Linked DNA regions of Neurospora crassa OR74A. The protein of the gene in region 2 binds, or shares a complex with, the protein of the main gene of each other region. Links are inferred from orthologs where the notes say so. Each region holds a gene or a part of one and is shown on either strand. Other genes may lie near its edges. The genes, in order: Bml and NCU00927.

Region 1 (4,395 bases), on a different chromosome or scaffold from region 2:
AGGAAAAAGCAGGAAAATGTATGGGGACATAATGGCCATGGCATAGCAGGGCGTGCGGCTTATTCATCGTTCTTGTTTTCTTGCATGGCGGGATCTTCCTTGAGCATCAGCAGCACTTCCTTATACCATTTGCATTGCTTCTGGGTTAGGTTGTGAAATGGGGAATGGAGGGAGGGAAAACAAATAAAAACGAACACACGGGGGTGGAGCAAGCGGAAGCATACCCTACGCACAGCATGGCAAAAAAAAGCCATCAACAGCAATGATCAAGTCATGAAATAGCCTCATGAACGGGTTGATCATTCTTCTAGTTAAATTAATATGTCAATGTCTATCTACAACTTTCATATTCTGATTCCGTATATGTTGGGGAGCATTCCGTGCTTGTCCAGCTCCATCCTTCTTTTGTCTCTGTCCCCTCAACTTTGTTTACATGTACACCTGACTGACAAGAAGATGGGGAAATGAAGGTCATCATCCCTGCCATCATAGGCGACAGCGAAATGTTGCATGGCTGCTGCAATGCAGTGGACCTACATATTTCTAGTGTACTGCTCAATGTAAGGTACAAGTAACGAGCGATCCTTTCGTTATTTGGGTGAATGAGATCTCCTTTTTCCCAATCCCAACTTCCGGTGTTTTGTTCGATAAATGATATGCGACCAGGTTCAGGAGAGCGGGCTCATCCTTCCCTTCTGCGGGCAGTTGGCAATCAAGGTACACTACTACCCCAAATTGCCAATCAGCAGGCCCATACAGTACCCCGTACACTACCGTAAGCTACGAAGCTTGAAGCGTGCCGAGATGGAGGGGTAGCTTGCTTCCCTTGTTCCTTTGTAAGTGGAAGTCATGGATGGCATCAACTATACTAGTGTATAATGCCGCGTCGAATTGAGGAGTTTCCATCTATGTGTCTGTTTTTCCCTGATCTCCAGCTAGGTAATTTGCAGGTCGGGCTCAACAATGGATGTGAATGTAGCCCCCTACGAGTCGCGATGCTGTTCCTGATCTCCCAAGTCTGGCCGGGCCAGTGACCGAGTCGTGCCCAAAACCAACAGCCAAATCCAATTGGAGGTTGCGACAGTTCGACAGCGGTCTCGAGCTGGCGACTTACCCCACATTGGCAGGAGCATGTGGGACCCGCCGCCCGGCTGGTTTTGCCTGCCAACTCTGCCAGCCAACCAGAAGCAGACTAGCGCGTCGCGCTGGCCCCGAGAGACAGCTGGGGGAGGTTTGTCTTTGGCGGTTTTTGGAGGTCAACGCGTGAGGAACCGAGCCAGAGTGCAGGGACCACCCAAACCGAGTCGACAGGGGGCCTTCCACCCTTCCAAAAGTTTGACAGTGCCTGATGTCCCCACTTTGGCAAGCGCCCCGGCAACCCAGCAGCAGCCCGGCGAGCGGCGGCGGCGGTGAACGAGAAGCTGGTGCTGGCCGGCTGTGGCCCGCTCATTTCTTGCACCAAAAATCAACAAATCTCCCTTTCCACTCCCAAGACTTCCCAGTCTCCCCTAGGCCAGACATCAAACCTCTCCACTTTCACCGACCTCCGTCGTCTTCGTCTATCCGCGTCGGCTTTATCACCACTTCCATCTTTTTGCTCTTCCATCTTTCTGCCTTCAACCTCCACATAGACCCGTGTTCGTCATCACCAAACCGTCAAGATGCGTGAAATTGTAAGTCTCCCTCTGATGCCTACTGTGCCGCGCACGCAGAGCAATCCCTCTTTTTTTTCTCTTTCCCTCCCAAGAGACCCCTGATTGCTCTACCCCACCAAACTGCCTCGTCCCCTTCTGTGCCTCTACCTACTGCTGCCCGACTCATTATGATCCTGCTCGCTTTCTCGCCATCGCGGACTGCCATCTATCGCGAGTATTATGGACATCGACGCTGACACGATTTCTTCACGTGCTATAGGTTCATCTCCAAACCGGCCAATGCGTAAGTCGATGATGGCTTCCACCCCCGTCGCGATCCAACAACAACAGCAGGACTAACACAACAGCCACGATCAGGGTAACCAAATCGGTGCTGCTTTCTGGTACGTCGTCATCATCGCGAACAACCACACCTTTGAGCGAGGGAGCCCGACGCTGACAGAATAAACAGGCAGACTATCTCCGGCGAGCACGGCCTCGATGCCTCCGGTGTGTACGTAACCTCGTGCCCAATAACCATATCTGGTGATGGCCTCGAAAGCTCACCGCCCACTACAGGTACAATGGCACCTCTGAGCTCCAGCTCGAGCGCATGAACGTCTACTTCAACGAGGTGAGCAACAACCGGTCTCGACGATCTCCCCCTCCTCGAGAATTCGCTCGCTAACTAGCTTCGCGCTTGACAGGCTTCCGGCAACAAGTATGTCCCTCGTGCCGTCCTCGTCGATCTCGAGCCCGGTACCATGGACGCCGTTCGCGCCGGTCCCTTCGGCCAGCTCTTCCGCCCCGATAACTTCGTCTTCGGCCAGTCCGGTGCTGGCAACAACTGGGCCAAGGGTCACTACACTGAGGGTGCTGAGCTTGTTGACCAGGTTCTCGATGTCGTCCGTCGCGAGGCTGAGGGCTGCGACTGCCTCCAGGGCTTCCAGATCACCCACTCCCTCGGTGGTGGTACCGGTGCCGGTATGGGTACCCTCCTTATCTCCAAGATTCGTGAGGAGTTCCCCGACCGCATGATGGCTACCTTCTCCGTCGTGCCCTCCCCCAAGGTCTCCGATACCGTTGTCGAGCCCTACAACGCCACCCTCTCCGTCCATCAGCTCGTTGAGAACTCCGACGAGACCTTCTGCATTGACAACGAGGCGCTTTACGACATTTGCATGAGGACCCTCAAGCTCTCCAACCCCTCTTACGGCGATCTTAACCACCTCGTCTCCGCCGTCATGTCCGGTGTCACCGTCTCCCTCCGTTTCCCCGGCCAGCTGAACTCCGATCTCCGCAAGCTCGCCGTCAACATGGTTCCCTTCCCCCGTCTCCACTTCTTCATGGTCGGCTTCGCTCCCCTTACCAGCCGCGGCGCCCACCACTTCCGTGCCGTCTCCGTGCCCGAGTTGACCCAGCAGATGTTCGACCCCAAGAACATGATGGCTGCTTCTGACTTCCGCAACGGTCGTTACCTCACCTGCTCTGCCATCTTGTAAGTTGCTGATCATGGAATGCTGCTTTTGACCACTAATACTGACGAATCAAACAGCCGTGGCAAGGTCTCCATGAAGGAGGTTGAGGACCAGATGCGCAACGTTCAGAACAAGAACTCTTCCTACTTCGTCGAGTGGATCCCCAACAACGTCCAGACTGCCCTCTGCTCTATCCCTCCCCGCGGTCTCAAGATGTCCTCCACCTTCGTCGGTAACTCCACCGCCATCCAGGAGCTCTTCAAGCGTATCGGCGAGCAGTTCACTGCCATGTTCAGGCGCAAGGCTTTCTTGCATTGGTACACTGGTGAGGGTATGGACGAGATGGAGTTCACTGAGGCTGAGTCCAACATGAACGATCTCGTCTCCGAGTACCAGCAGTACCAGGATGCTGGTGTTGACGAGGAGGAGGAGGAGTACGAGGAGGAGGCCCCCCTTGAGGGCGAGGAGTAAATCATTCCACTCAACATTCAGGCTCCTCTGCGCACGTAAAGTGCCAAAGGCAATACCCTGCTCGGTGGAATGCCGCCGGGCTTGTCGATTTTACGCACATATGCGCATTCTTGACTTGAAGCGGAGGAGTTCTTCGTTGCGGGTTACAGTGTTTTAATAAAAGAATGGTCAAATCAAACTGCTAGATATACCTGTCAGACACTCTAGTTGTTGACCCCTATACTCTTAATACATCAGACAGTACATGCATGTTGCATGATGATGATAATGTCTGTTTAGATTCCAAGTGTCTACTGCTGGCCAAGCTTTCTCTCTACGCACTCTGTAACTATGGGAGCGTGAGATGTATCAAGAGTCCTTAGTTTTGGGGGACTATGTCTGTGTTGTGCGGTATACTTGTAACTAGCTTGCGGAAGATGCGACAGATCTACGTAGATCAGGGATTATCATAATTATCCCTGACATAATAGCTGTTACGCGGCAGCGGCGAAAAGGCAGTCGGTGACTTTTAGATACTCAAATGTTCGCCCACTTTTTCATGTGCGTTGAGTCATGTAATGTAACCAAGGAAGGGCGAGAACCAGACATGGTCAACAGAGTCAGTGATAAGATTCCCAGCTTCTCGCAGTGAGTATTTTGCAAGACCGAAAGCCACAACAGAACACCAAGTCCAAGTGAACTGTCTTACAAGCCCATTATGGAAAGTCTCCATTTACCCAACTGCCTAGGTAGTACTGAGCACTTGACTTCAGATAGGATGTGGAAAGCGCAGTTAGGTGTGAAAGTTCAACTGACTGCTGTGATAGGTAGAA
Region 2 (4,342 bases):
TCGCTCCTCCTCCAAAACCTCCTGAATCCGGGCTGACACAGTTGCGTTGGATTCAACAATGGTCTGACTAGCACCCTCGAGCTCTTGCCGAAGTCTTTCAGCTTCGGCTTTCTGGGCGCTAATTGTTTGCAGCAGATCCCCGAAGATGGATTTACATTCCTTCCCAAGCGAACTATACGAAGCATGTAACTGACTGTGGAAAGTAGTTAGTTCGCCCAGGACATCACCTGCAATCCGCTCAGCCGCCGAGGCAATAGCCTGGAGCGATTCTCCAACGCGCTGTTTCACGGTGTCCCGAACAACCTTGATCTCTTCCAGCACGTTGTCCATCTCCTCCTTGGACTTTTGCTTCTGCTCCAACAGCTGTGTCCTAGACTCTGCGAAATGCTCCAAGTTTTGATCGAGGAAGGCTTGGGTTGTGGACAGCTTGTCGAGCTCCTCCTGAACAAAACTTTGCATTCGCTCTGATACGCTGGAGATATGCTCCTCCTGCCCCTTGCGGAACTCCGCAATCCGACTTTCAACAAGCTCAGTAATACCTGTGACTTGCGATTGCGACATGGCCCACGTGCTACGATTGAGCGCATGTAGGTCGGATCTTCTTCTGTTCTTCGCGTGGAGCCCTTCGACATCTTGGACGGTCCGCTTGACGGTAGAGATAAGCTCATCACCCACTTTGGCAAGCTTCTGCTCGGTTGTTTGATGCGCCCTTCGGAGGTGCGCCTCCTCCGCCAACGACTTCCTGGTAGCTGCCAGCACCAGCTCGGTTTGGTCCAACACATCTTTGGTCTCGTCTAGCTGTGCTTTTGTGGCTTCGTGCTCTTTTCGAAGCCCCATGAATGTTGATGTCATCGTATACAGCTCTTGGAGCTTGTTTCGAAGGTTTGTTTCGAGGGTCTCGATTCTGGCCGCTTGTTCTTCCGTAAGGATCCGCCGCGATTCGTTTTGTACAGTCAGCTCTTCGTAAGCATCGTTCGATAGATAGACACCGTTTCGCTGACGAGTGGCAATCAGCTCGCTTTTCAGTTTCTCGATCTCGGTCGCAAACTCGCGAAGTAATGTTTTTTTGTTGAGTAGCGCGTTGATCTGCGGTTTGTTTCGAATGTTTTTAGCCCTAAAAGCATAATCAAGGGTGGATATCGTCTCCTCCATGTTACTCCTGGCCGGGGATATTGTCGCAATGATGCACGTCTTTGTCCGCCCACCTAAAGAGTCTTGGAGTAGACGTGTAAGTTTCGATTCTCTGTAAGGAATATGGGGGCTGCGGTCGACCAAGGCGTTGATGACGCGACCAAGGGTAAGCAGACTCTTGTTGATGAGGCCAGCCTCAGCAGCACGTTTGTTCTCGGCTCCAGAGCGCTGAATGTTCTCACTGCCAGCGAGATCAACCAAATTCAGCTTTCCTCCCATTAGATAATCCTCCCCATTCTCGGTTTGTTGCTTGACATGAACGGTAATGGTGAAGACGGTGTGACTACGACTGCTGAGGTCGTTGCACTTTGTCGCGGCCACCTGACGCCTCACACTGCCCTCTTGAAGCCATCTGAGGCCGTCTGCCGCGCTCAAAATGTGTCTTTCCTCCATACCTTGCACAATAGTCGTGGCATGGCCCTTTTTCGAGTTGTCGTCAAATATTTTGAGCTTTGTGTTGTCCTCTGCCGAAAGCAGATCACGCAGCTCTTCATTATAAAGTTCGATAAACGAGCATCGCACGCAGTGTTCCTTGTCATCCACTTCAAGCTTATTAAAGAGAGCATGCAGGACTCTGGGGATGATGCCTGCGGTGTCGGGAAGCATGCCAAAAGTCTGATTCATGTCGCCTGACATGGTATATGTCTTGCCTGTGCCTGTTTGGCCGTAAGCAAATATGGTGCAGTTGTAACCGGCAAGCATCTGGTTCAAGTCAGCCATGAACAGGCCCTGATCGGTTTGATAGTCCTTACCTCTTCCAGGATCGGCTTCACCACCTCGTCAAAGACCATGGCTTGGTCGGCGGCCTGCGAGAAGACGCGATCAAAGGTATACGTCTTGTTGCTCACTGCATTGGGACCCATTGATAGCTCAACTATCCTGCCTTTGAGGCCCTCCGTCTTGACAACAACGGCGCTATTTTCCTTGACTTCCCGGTCATTGCGTCCTCGACAGCGCACAACAACATTGATGTTTGTGGTGCCCTCGTCCTCCGGGTCGAAATCGCGCTCCTTACGCTTCGCACCTGCTGTTGCCGATACCTGTGAGTCTGCGGGGGAGGCGGCGCCCGATCGCTCGGCGCGAGATCCTCCCGGTGCGGAGGCATTTCGGAGGGCTGATTGTCGGCCTGTTGAAGATGCCGTGTTTCTGGTTGGGGGAGGTCGCATGCTGCTGTTGCTACGCGTCCCGGCGACGGATGGTGGACGCGACATGGATGATGGTTTTTTACGCTCCATGCTGGAGCTGCGCGATTGGACGATACTTTATCGAAGGGTCGAGGTTGCGAAATCGGGGAGAAGTTGGGCCAAAGGAGGGACGAGAAACGAAAAGATGCGAAGTGACGACTGTTGGGCTAAGGTACACAATGGGCCAGAATCAATCCAAAAAGCATTGGTGATGGTGATCGAAGAGCTGATGGCAGAGAGGGAGAGGGAGCGAGATCGTGGGTCGTTCAGTCGGCCGGTCGATGCCTTTTTCTTATGTGCGACGAGCTGGAAACCTGCGAAAGACGGCAGCGTCGTCGTGAAGAGATTGGCGTGTTAGATTCCACACGCCGTCGGGAATGAGCGACTGGACGTCGCGACCCGGCCTTTTCTTGTCGATTATGCGAGCGACTCGCCTGGGTAGGTGCCGTGGTCTTGTTGGATGGCGGGGATCACTTTTTCCAATGTTAGCGTTCGCTGCTTGCTGTTCAAGTTGGGTACTTACTTGCCTTGTGCTGCTTTGGCGCGACAGGAGGCATCAACATCAGTCTCCACTGTCCGCAATGCTGTAAGCGTATTCGGGCTATTGCTGGGGCAACCGCTTCCCGGTGCAAGTAAACTAAACGCACAGACCACTGATCTTCGACAGCCCGGAATCATCGCTGTGAGCGTCACGCTGACCGGTCAGCAAACAGCGGACAGCGGACAGCGGCCAGCACAACCTCCCCTCAATGCCCCTCTTTGTGTCCCCCCCATTCCGTCTCATCACGCCGCTCTCGTCTCCAGAGTCCAGCACTGATGTTTTATCGTACATAAGGTACCTACCTAGTGCTGGCCCCCCATCCGCCCCAGGCCTTGCCTGCCGCTTTCACCGCCGCCTGCCGTTCGCCTTCATGTGATTCGAGGTAGGTACGTTGGTACTTCTACCTACGTAATCTGGAGCAGCTGCCGATGGTCGGGGTCGCCCTCCCCCAGATCACGAGGGGACCTTGACGGACAACACCCAGCAAGCGCCGCTTCGCCAACCGATGATACAATTACCCATCAGACGACCAACGAACAACTTTCACCCTCTCATCTTTGCTTTCTTCGCTCTCTGACACAAAGTCAGTATAGCCACACACCAAGTTACAATACGAATAGATGATATCGCTCTCCGCCGTTCTCAACCGTCCGTCCTGCCACTAAGCCCACTGGATGAACGAGACTCGACGTACGAGTTCGTCCCATCTCCGTCGTTCCCATATACCACCTTAAGCGGTGTACAACCTCAAACATCTTCATCAGCACATACAAGTTTCAATATGTCGACACCTACCTCGCCGCCGATTTCTCCCCTTCTCTTCTCCGCCCAGCTTTATCCTGGCCGAGCGCTCGGCTGGTTGGTCCTTGGAGCGTCGTTGCACGATATCTTGACTCGCCTCAAGACAGAGCCCCAGCGGTTCACGAATCTCGATGTCAAGTACAGCCCAACCGAGCCGACGAAATCCATTGTCGTTATCGATCTCCCCGCAAACGGCATTCGTCTACAATTCGACGCTCCAGAGCAGCGGTTACGCTTAATCGAGGTGGTGGACTTTACCAAAAATCATATCTTTATCAAGGCCGCCGATAACAAAGAGCGTGACCTTGTTCGCCCTTCCGCAGCATCTACCCCGTCAACCGATAACCCCGCGGGCCCTACGTTCCGTCACATCTACCAGCGCTTTCTTGGTCCCACCTATGATGGCGAGTTCATTGATGGACCGAAGACGCCAGACAATGCCGTCGATCAATATGGGCTCTACGTTCTGTCATGGCCCGGTGTGGCCTTTAGTTTCCTCATGAAGAAAGCGAGCTACTCGGCCAAGAAGAACGTGGTTGATCTGTTGCCATCCACGCAAGTCCCCGAGACCATGGGCATTTTCAGTGGGGATTCGTGGACACAAGCCCGGCAGACGCTGTGGACT

Evidence for each region.
Region 1: the proteins of NCU00927 (region 2) and Bml are in contact, whole or in part, in a cryo-EM structure (PDB 6S8M), measured with the Schizosaccharomyces pombe proteins. The link is inferred for Neurospora crassa OR74A from reciprocal best matches to the Schizosaccharomyces pombe genes cut7 and nda3. Residues at the interface, in NP_594527.1 of Schizosaccharomyces pombe: Glu217, Arg233, Val234, Phe235, Glu236, Arg345, Gln352, Arg359, Ala368, His369, His370, Pro372, Arg374, Glu375, Ser376, Arg380; in NP_596650.1 of Schizosaccharomyces pombe: Pro160, Asp161, His190, Gln191, Glu194, Asn195, Phe260, Pro261, Arg262, Met406, Glu410, Ser413, Asp417, Ser420, Glu421, Gln424.

Annotation. Positions count from the first base shown.
Region 1 is NC_026506.1:2,581,405-2,585,799, forward strand, and holds Bml (tubulin beta chain), read left to right. Parts: upstream 1-1,460; 5' UTR 1,461-1,661; coding exon 1,662-1,673; intron 1,674-1,914; coding exon 1,915-1,938; intron 1,939-2,012; coding exon 2,013-2,038; intron 2,039-2,106; coding exon 2,107-2,148; intron 2,149-2,213; coding exon 2,214-2,268; intron 2,269-2,341; coding exon 2,342-3,132; intron 3,133-3,189; coding exon 3,190-3,583; 3' UTR 3,584-4,111; downstream 4,112-4,395. UniProt on the Schizosaccharomyces pombe protein: Tubulin is the major constituent of microtubules, a cylinder consisting of laterally associated linear protofilaments composed of alpha- and beta-tubulin heterodimers.
Region 2 is NC_026501.1:6,696,550-6,700,891, reverse strand, and holds the start of NCU00927 (kinesin), read right to left. Parts: upstream 2,904-4,342; 5' UTR 2,427-2,903; coding exon 1,944-2,426; intron 1,894-1,943; coding exon 1-1,893. Other genes in the region: NCU00928 (UPF0183 domain-containing protein), read left to right, coding at 3,698-4,342. UniProt on the Schizosaccharomyces pombe protein: Could be a spindle pole body motor. On transition from G2 to M phase of the cell cycle, the spindle pole body duplicates; the daughter pole bodies seed microtubules which interdigitate to form a short spindle that elongates to span the nucleus at metaphase.